2 linked regions of the Macaca mulatta genome follow. Each later gene encodes a partner of the first gene's protein in a complex. Links are inferred from orthologs where the notes say so. Each region holds a gene or a part of one and is shown in the gene's direction. Other genes may lie near its edges. The genes, in order: IRAK2 and IRAK4.

Region 1 (3,822 bases):
CTGTTGCCCAGGCTGGAGTGCACCTCTGCCTCCTGGGTTCAAGCGATTCTCCTGCCTCAGCCTCCTGAGTAGCTGGGACTACAGGCGCCTACCACCACACCTGGCTAATTTTTGTATTTTTGGTAGAGATGGAGTTTCAGCATGTTGGCCAGGCTGGTCTTGAACTCCTGACCTCAGGTGATCTGCCCATCTCTGCCTCCCAAAGTGCTGGGATTACAGGCATGAGCCACTGTGCCTGGCTAAGAGGGATTTTTTTTTTTTTTAACATGATCTGGGGCAGGTTTAGTCACAAAGGATGCTGGCCACTTAGACCTGAGTCAGCCATGCCAGAGCTGGGGGTTGGAACAGTTGTGGAAGAGACCGAGTCTGCACAACCTATAGGCTTGGCAAGCTGAGGCTGATCAGGGTTGGCGTCTGTGGGAATTAGGGAGGCTGCACTTCTTTGGCCACATTCCTGGGGCAGCAAGACTAATTCTGAACTCCATCTCCATTTGCTGGAGGGAGTATGCTCCTGATGTCCTCTCTTCCCCAGTCAGGGCTGCCTCAGAAGCTCCATGCTGAGGGTCTTTAGAGACCTCAACTTGCAGGAGCCGATGTTGCTCTGCCACTATATTGTCTCCCCAAAGGGTCTCCATGGCAACCTGTTGTTATCCAGCTCAAAATGAGAAGGTTCTCTCCCCTTTCGTTTCCACAGCTCTAATGTCTTGCTGGACCAAAATCTCACCCCCAAGCTTGCTCACCCAATGGCTCACCTGTGTCCTGTCAACAAAAGGTCAAAATACACCGTGATGAAGACTCACCTGTTCCAGGCGTCAGTTGCGTATCTGCCAGAGGATTTCATCCGGGTGGGGCAGCTGACGAAGCGAGTGGACATCTTCAGCTGTGGAATAGTAAGAGCGTCCTTCTCTGCTTAGACTGGGGCCCGCCCTGATTTGTCCTTCCCACAGCTCCTTTGTAATCACAGGATACGGTAGAGGCACACAGACGGGTTCCATCAAAGTTCAGCAGGGGCTGTCAAACCGTGGCCCACAGGCCACTCTGGCCTGTGGCCTATTTTGTGTGGTCTGTGAGCTAAGAGTAGTTCTACATTTATAAAGGATTATATTTTTAAACCAAAGAATATGTGATAGAGACTGAACATGCCCCACAAAATCTCACATATTTACTGTGTGGCCTGTTACAGAAGAAATTTGCCAGCCCTTGAAGGAAAACCGCTCATGAGTATCCAGGTTCTAGTAGGCTCCAGATATCCTCTCCTGACTTCCCTATTCCCATCAGCCATCCACCTGTCCATCCAATTGTCTATTTGTCCTTATTTGTTCATCGCTGTCCGATCATCCATCCACTCTTTAGCTGCCCATCCATTCAGCGACCGTTGACCCACCCAGCATCCCATCCTGCCACCACCACCATCCTTGTCTGCCATTGTGTTGTGCCAGGCACTAGGAATATGAATGTAACGAAAACACAGCCCTCCCCTCAGGAGCTCATGGTCTGCGTGTAGCAGTCTACAGAGTATATTTCTGTAGAACTCCAATTCCTTTGGATCTCTAGGATTGGTGGGTTAAAAGGTTTATGCCTTGACAGGCTTGGAAATATTGCATTAGGCAAAGCCAAGCAGGTTTCTTTACCACAAGATTAATTCAAGCTGGTAGGATGGTAATGAGCCTTTAATCTGGGACTTGTGAATTCACCAGAGAGGGGTATGCAGTGTTTCCCAAGCTCATTTGACTGTGGAACCTTGTTTTCTCAGAATATCTGTCCTCGTCAGTGTTCCATGGAACCCAGTCTGGGAAATGCTGCTGAGAAGAATGACAGTCAGGTTGGCTTCAGCCAAGTGCATACAGCTGCCCTGTGGGCCTCACCCTCTCTTCTTCTCTAGCCTTGAACTCTGTACTTCCTCTCTCTGACCACAGTCTCCTGTCTACCTCTGCCACTAGAACCGTGGCCCTGAGTCACCTCTGCCCTCAGCAAGAACCCCAGATTCTGTACCCCTGTGTCTCCCAGCAGGTTCCTCTGCCTCCCTCAGCCCCACTGCGAGTTGTTCAGTGAAGCTCAGCAGGGCTAGTCCAGGCTCCTGCTCCTTTAAGAACCAGGTGGGGCCGGGCGCGGTGGCTCACGCCTGTAATCCCAGCACTTTGGGAGGCCGAGGCGGGCGGATCACAAGGTCAGGAGATCGAGACCACGGTGAAACCCTGTCTCTACTAAAAATACAAAAAATTAGCCGGGCGCGGTGGCGGGCGCCTGTAGGCCCAGCTACTCGGGAGGCTGAGGCAGGAGAATGGCGTAAACCCAGGAGGCGGAGCTTGCAGTGAGCCGAGATCACGCCACTGCACTCCAGCCTGGGCGACAGAGCGAGACTCCGTCTCAAAAAAAAAACAAAAAACAAAAAAAAAAAAACAAAAAAAAAAGAACCAGGTGGATGGGCAGGGAGTGGTGGCATACGCCTGAAATCTCAGTACTTTGGGAGGCCGAGGTTGCAGTGAGCCAAGATCATACTATTGTACTCCAGGCTGGGCAAAAGAGCCAGACTCTGTCTAAAAAAAAAAAAAAAAGAAAAGAACTGGGGGATGGAACCCCTAGGCCCAGCTCAGTTACCTTCAGCTGTGTGACCTACACCCAGCACCTCTGTCTCTGGGCCTCAGTTATGCTTTCTGTAAGATGGGGCTAACGATATACATGGAGACAAATGGGATAATATATGTAAGCAGGTGAGCATGGTACCTTGCACCCTGCACCTACCAAGAATATTATGATGACTGTGGTTATTGTTATTCCCACCTTTACACCCTCCTTCTGATATCTGTTTACTCTTGACCCTCTAACCAGTGTGTTAGTGTCACAGGTGACTTCCTCATCCATCCATTCACTCTCCCGCTCATCCACCCACGCACCCACCCTTGCACCCACTCACCCATCCACCTACCCACCTGTCCACCCATGTACCCACCCTCCCTCCTACCCTCCCAGCCACCCACCCACCCATCCATCCACCCATTTATCCACCTACCCACACATTCACCCATCCATCCATTCATCTACCACCCATCCGTCCATTCATTCATTGAATGCCCCCTGTCTCCTGCCACCCTTTTGCTCAGCCCTGCCTCTGGTTGACTGAAATGATTTTGAACTTTGACTTCTCCTGTGGGCAGCACAGTGCATTGCTCAGTGTTTTTTGGTGAGTGCTCAGTGACCTCTATAAAGGACTTGGCTCAGAGCCTGCCCTGTGAAAGGGGCACAGGAAATCTTTGTTTATTCATTTCCCCTTGTTCCATCCCTTCCTGGCAGGGACCTGTCAGGAGTCCCTTTTCAATTGGCTCCTGTCCCACTTGCAGCAGTGATGCCCTCTGCTGCCCTCTTCTGGTCACTGCCAGTCTGTTATTAATCCTGGGTGGTTTCAAACCTTTATCCTTTTTCCTCCAGGCTTGGAGGGATTCTTGGCTATAAATGTGACCCTATTCTGACTTGCTTCGAGAGATGCTGTGGGAGAGAGATTCCACACTAAGTGTGTGGTATTCACACCTTTAATATTCACAACTGCTAGTCCCCATTTAACAGATGAGGACACTGAGGCTCAGGTTTTAGTTACTTGCCTAAAGATCACCTGAGCATGTAAGGAACAGAGTCAGAATTTGAACTCAGGCCTGACTGTAGAGCCCTTAACCATCATGGCATTGTCTCTACTGAGAAACCCTGTTCAAAGCAGGTTTCCTGTTTATGAAGACATATATCATGGTTTGCCAATTTTCTGGTGACTTACATGTATACAGGGCTGTGCTCCTTGTGCGAGTGGCTGCACTAATGAATAATGTTAGGAAA
Region 2 (3,753 bases), on another chromosome or scaffold:
CTATTACACAATAGCATATGGAAAAAGCATTAAATATTTTTCATTCTCAGCTCTCCCATGAAGTATGTGTGAAGCCTAGAAAAGTCACTTACATATTCTTTGTTCTGATTTCTTTGTGGGTAAAATGAAAATAGAACTAAATGATTTCTGAGGTCCTCTTTAGCTTATGTTTATTTTGTTACTTTCAGGGTGGCTACTCTTAATAACAGTGTTTTCAACATTTTCAGAAAGGAAAAAAATGGCTTCCGTTCAAATTTCTCTCAGAATAAAATTGCTAGTAAAAGTTCTCTACTTATTTCTATCATGGAGTATTTTATTTACAAAGTTACAATAAAAAACATACCAAATTTGCTATTGTTAGGAAAAACTCAAATCATGTATTTCCTTTGCTCTCATACCACAGCAACAATCAACACAGAAGATTTCTGTGACCAAATGTGAGTGGGGAGGATTTCTCTCCACCAACAAGCAGGCAGTCTACTTTGCAGCGAAAGTCAGCTGCATCTCCTCCAATTTAATTCTGACACTATGTTCCTAGAGATAGCATCAGAATCAGATCCCACAGGTTAAGGGCTCAGTCCCTGAGACTGTGATCCCACCAGACACCAGTCGCAAGTTTAGGCCTCCAGAACTTCTGACCAACTGCCTTCAAGTTGGAGTTCCTATGACCTCCTCTGTGGGTATGGAGGGCTCAAGATTGAACCCAGATTGATTCACTAACTTGCATGCAGCATATACTTTACCTAAGTTTTCCATCATTTTGCCTAAGGCTTTTTCTTTCAAAATATATAAAAGCCTCAAAACTTTGGCTTGAGTAAGGATGAAATGCAGAAAAACATAAGCTCTATCTCAGTCACAAGTTTTGTGTTTCATCATATAATAGTGAAAATCACAAATCTTTGGAGAATTACACTCTTTCACCCATTCTTAAGGTTTGACTGTGATGTGACTCTAAAGTAATAAGATTTTTGTACAAGCACAGTTAAAAAAAAAATGATCCTTTGAAGAACCCTTATGTTACTAGATTCTGCCATGGCCAAACATTTTCAGAATTTATCTTTTGAAAGTGTTTTTGAAGAGTTTACCTCTCATGAATAGTTTTTTTCATCTGTATTAGTTTCCCAGGACTGTTGTAAAAATGTACCAAAAACTGTGTGACTTAAAGCAACAGAAATTTATTTGCTCGTAGTTCTGGAGGCCAGAGTCTGAAATCAAGGTATTGGCAAGACTATGCTCTCTCTGGAGGCTCCAGAGAGAATCTTGCCTTGCTCGTTGGATGTGGGGCTTACCTCCAGGATTATCTATAATCTGGAATATTCTCATCTCAGGATACTTAATTACATCTAAAAAGGCCCTTCTTTTCCTAATAAGAGGACATTTACAGATTCCAGAAATTATGGCATAGACATGTTTTGGGAGACCATGATTCACCCAACTTACTATCTTATTCCTACACTTCTCTTTCTGTTAATTCTTTTTTTTTATCATGGCCTGCTCCCCATTTTTCCCCTCCCTTTTTCTCTTTGATTCAACAATCTTAGTACCCATAGAGAAGTTTATTGGGTACAGGGAGGAGGAGTCAGGGTCCAAAAAATTGGAGTTGCGCTATTAGAAGCACATCAAGAAGCAGACCACGCTGTGCTGCCCACCTAGTAAATGCTGCTAATGGAAACATATAAGCAATTAGCTCATAACATAAATATAAAAATTGGAAGGCAGATGGGTGGAAGTATCTAGAAGGTATAAATAAATATACATTTATATTACACACACACACACACACACACACACACACACACACACACACCCCGTCATGTGTTGCCAAATGACAGGAATATGTTCCGAGAAATGCGTTGTTAGGCAGTTTCATTGTGTGAACCTCATAGAGTGTACTTACACAAACCTAGATGATGTGACCTACTACACACCTGGGCTGTATGGTATTGCTCCTAGGCTACAAACATATGCTGTACAGCATAATACTGTCCTGAATACTGTAAGCAATTGTAACACAATGGTAAGTATTTATGTATGTAAACATAAAAGAGGTACAGTAAAAATATGGTATTATAATCTTATGGGACCACCATCTATATGTGGTCTGTCATTGACCAGTTGACCAAAATGTCATTTTGTGGTGGATGGATGTACTTATTTACATAGAATTTGTCCTGTATGTCTTGTTTTTTTGTTTGTTTGTTTTGTTTTGGTTTTGGAGACAGAGTCTCGCTCTGTCACCCAGGCTGGAGTAGTGCAGTGGCGCAATTTCGGCTCACTGCAATCTCTGCCTCCTGGGTTCAGACGATTCCCCTGTGTCAGCCTCCCGAGTAGCTAAGATTACAGGTGCACACCACCACGCCTGGCTAATTTTTTGTATTTTTAGTAGAAACAGGGTTTCACCATGTTGCCCAGGCTGGGTCTTGAATTCTTAATAAGGTTTTAAGATAAGATAGTAAAATGAGAGTACATGTTATTACAAAGTAGATTAATTTAAATAATTAAAATATACATTCTAATTTCCTTCACTTTGATTTGAAGCTCGTAAAGTTTTAACACTCATTTTAAAGCTAGATATTAAAGAAGAAATTGAAGATGAAGAAAAGACGATTGAAGATTATATTGATAAAAAGATGAATGATGCTGATTCCACTTCAGTTGAAGCTATGTACTCTGTTGCTAGTCAATGTCTGCATGAAAAGAAAAATAAGAGACCAGACATTAAGAAGGTATGAATTTTGTTTATTTATTTAAAAAGTGAAAGGGGTGGGGTTCATCATATTTTCCAGAGTGTATATTTTAAAGCAAGTGTATAATGTGGTTCTTTTGTTTTTTTCTATGTCTTTTTATAAGGTTCAACAGCTGCTGCAAGAGATGACAGATTCTTAAAACTATTGGAATAGACTCTTGACTTTTTATATACACCTATCTCAACCATTTTTTTTTTTTTTAATTTGAGATGGAATCTCGCTCTGTTGCCCAGGCTGGAGTGCAGTGGCGTGATCTCGGCTCACTGCAAGCTCCACCTCCCGGGTTCACGCCATTCTCCTGCCTCAGCCTTCCAAGTAGCTGGAACTACAGGCATCCACCACCACGCCCGGCAATTTTTTTTTTTTTTTAGTAGAGACGGGGTTTCACCGTGTTAGCCAGGATGGTCTCGATCTCCTGACCTCATGATCCCCCCGCCTCGGCCTCCCAAAGTGCTGGGATTACAGGCGTGAGCCACCACGCCTGGCCTCAACCATTTTTTTAACTAATTTTTTTCCCAAATATTCTTCTTTACCTTTAACAAGGTGCAGGCTGTTGCAGGGCAGTGGTTATTAAAGCATGGGTTGAACTTCCAACATATAAAAATAGAGCCACCATATCAACACTTAGCCCTACCCATTAGTATCACACCCAGTTCTTACAGTAATCCCTGAGATATCTCCAAGCATCAAACACAGTTTGAAAATTACAGAGTTAGCAAAAAGAGCCTGGGCTGTATGTAGGGTGGAAACACTCTGATCTGAAGCCCAACTGACTCCACTACTAATTTGCTGTAAAGCTTTGGACATACACTTAGCTGCTGTGAGCCACTAATAACATTGGGCTAATATCTGCTGTGCTTCTCTGACAGGTAATCATGAAAATCAAATGATGCAGAATATATACAAGCACTTTGTGAATTATAAAAATAATACAAAATTTAAAGTTTATAGAGCCAATTACAAAATCCTATTAGTCATATATTTATAGATGGTGTTCACAGCAATC

Evidence for each region.
Region 2: the proteins of IRAK2 (region 1) and IRAK4 are in contact, whole or in part, in a crystal structure (PDB 3MOP), measured with the Homo sapiens proteins. The link is inferred for Macaca mulatta from reciprocal best matches to the Homo sapiens genes IRAK2 and IRAK4. Residues at the interface, in NP_001561.3 of Homo sapiens: Tyr6, Ile36, Lys44, Met48, Glu59, Trp62, Trp63, Trp64, Gly65, Met66, Arg67, Gln68, Ala69, Gln73; in NP_001107654.1 of Homo sapiens: Asp24, Phe25, Pro28, Gln29, Lys34, Glu92, Phe93, Phe94, Ala95, Pro96, Ser98, Val105.

Annotation. Positions count from the first base shown.
Region 1 is NC_133407.1:149,069,317-149,073,138, forward strand, and holds part of IRAK2 (interleukin-1 receptor-associated kinase-like 2), read left to right. Parts: intron 1-694; coding exon 695-890; intron 891-3,822. UniProt on the Homo sapiens protein: Binds to the IL-1 type I receptor following IL-1 engagement, triggering intracellular signaling cascades leading to transcriptional up-regulation and mRNA stabilization.
Region 2 is NC_133416.1:50,785,585-50,789,337, forward strand, and holds the end of IRAK4 (interleukin-1 receptor-associated kinase 4), read left to right. Parts: intron 1-2,567; coding exon 2,568-2,726; intron 2,727-2,850; coding exon 2,851-2,886; 3' UTR 2,887-2,941; downstream 2,942-3,753.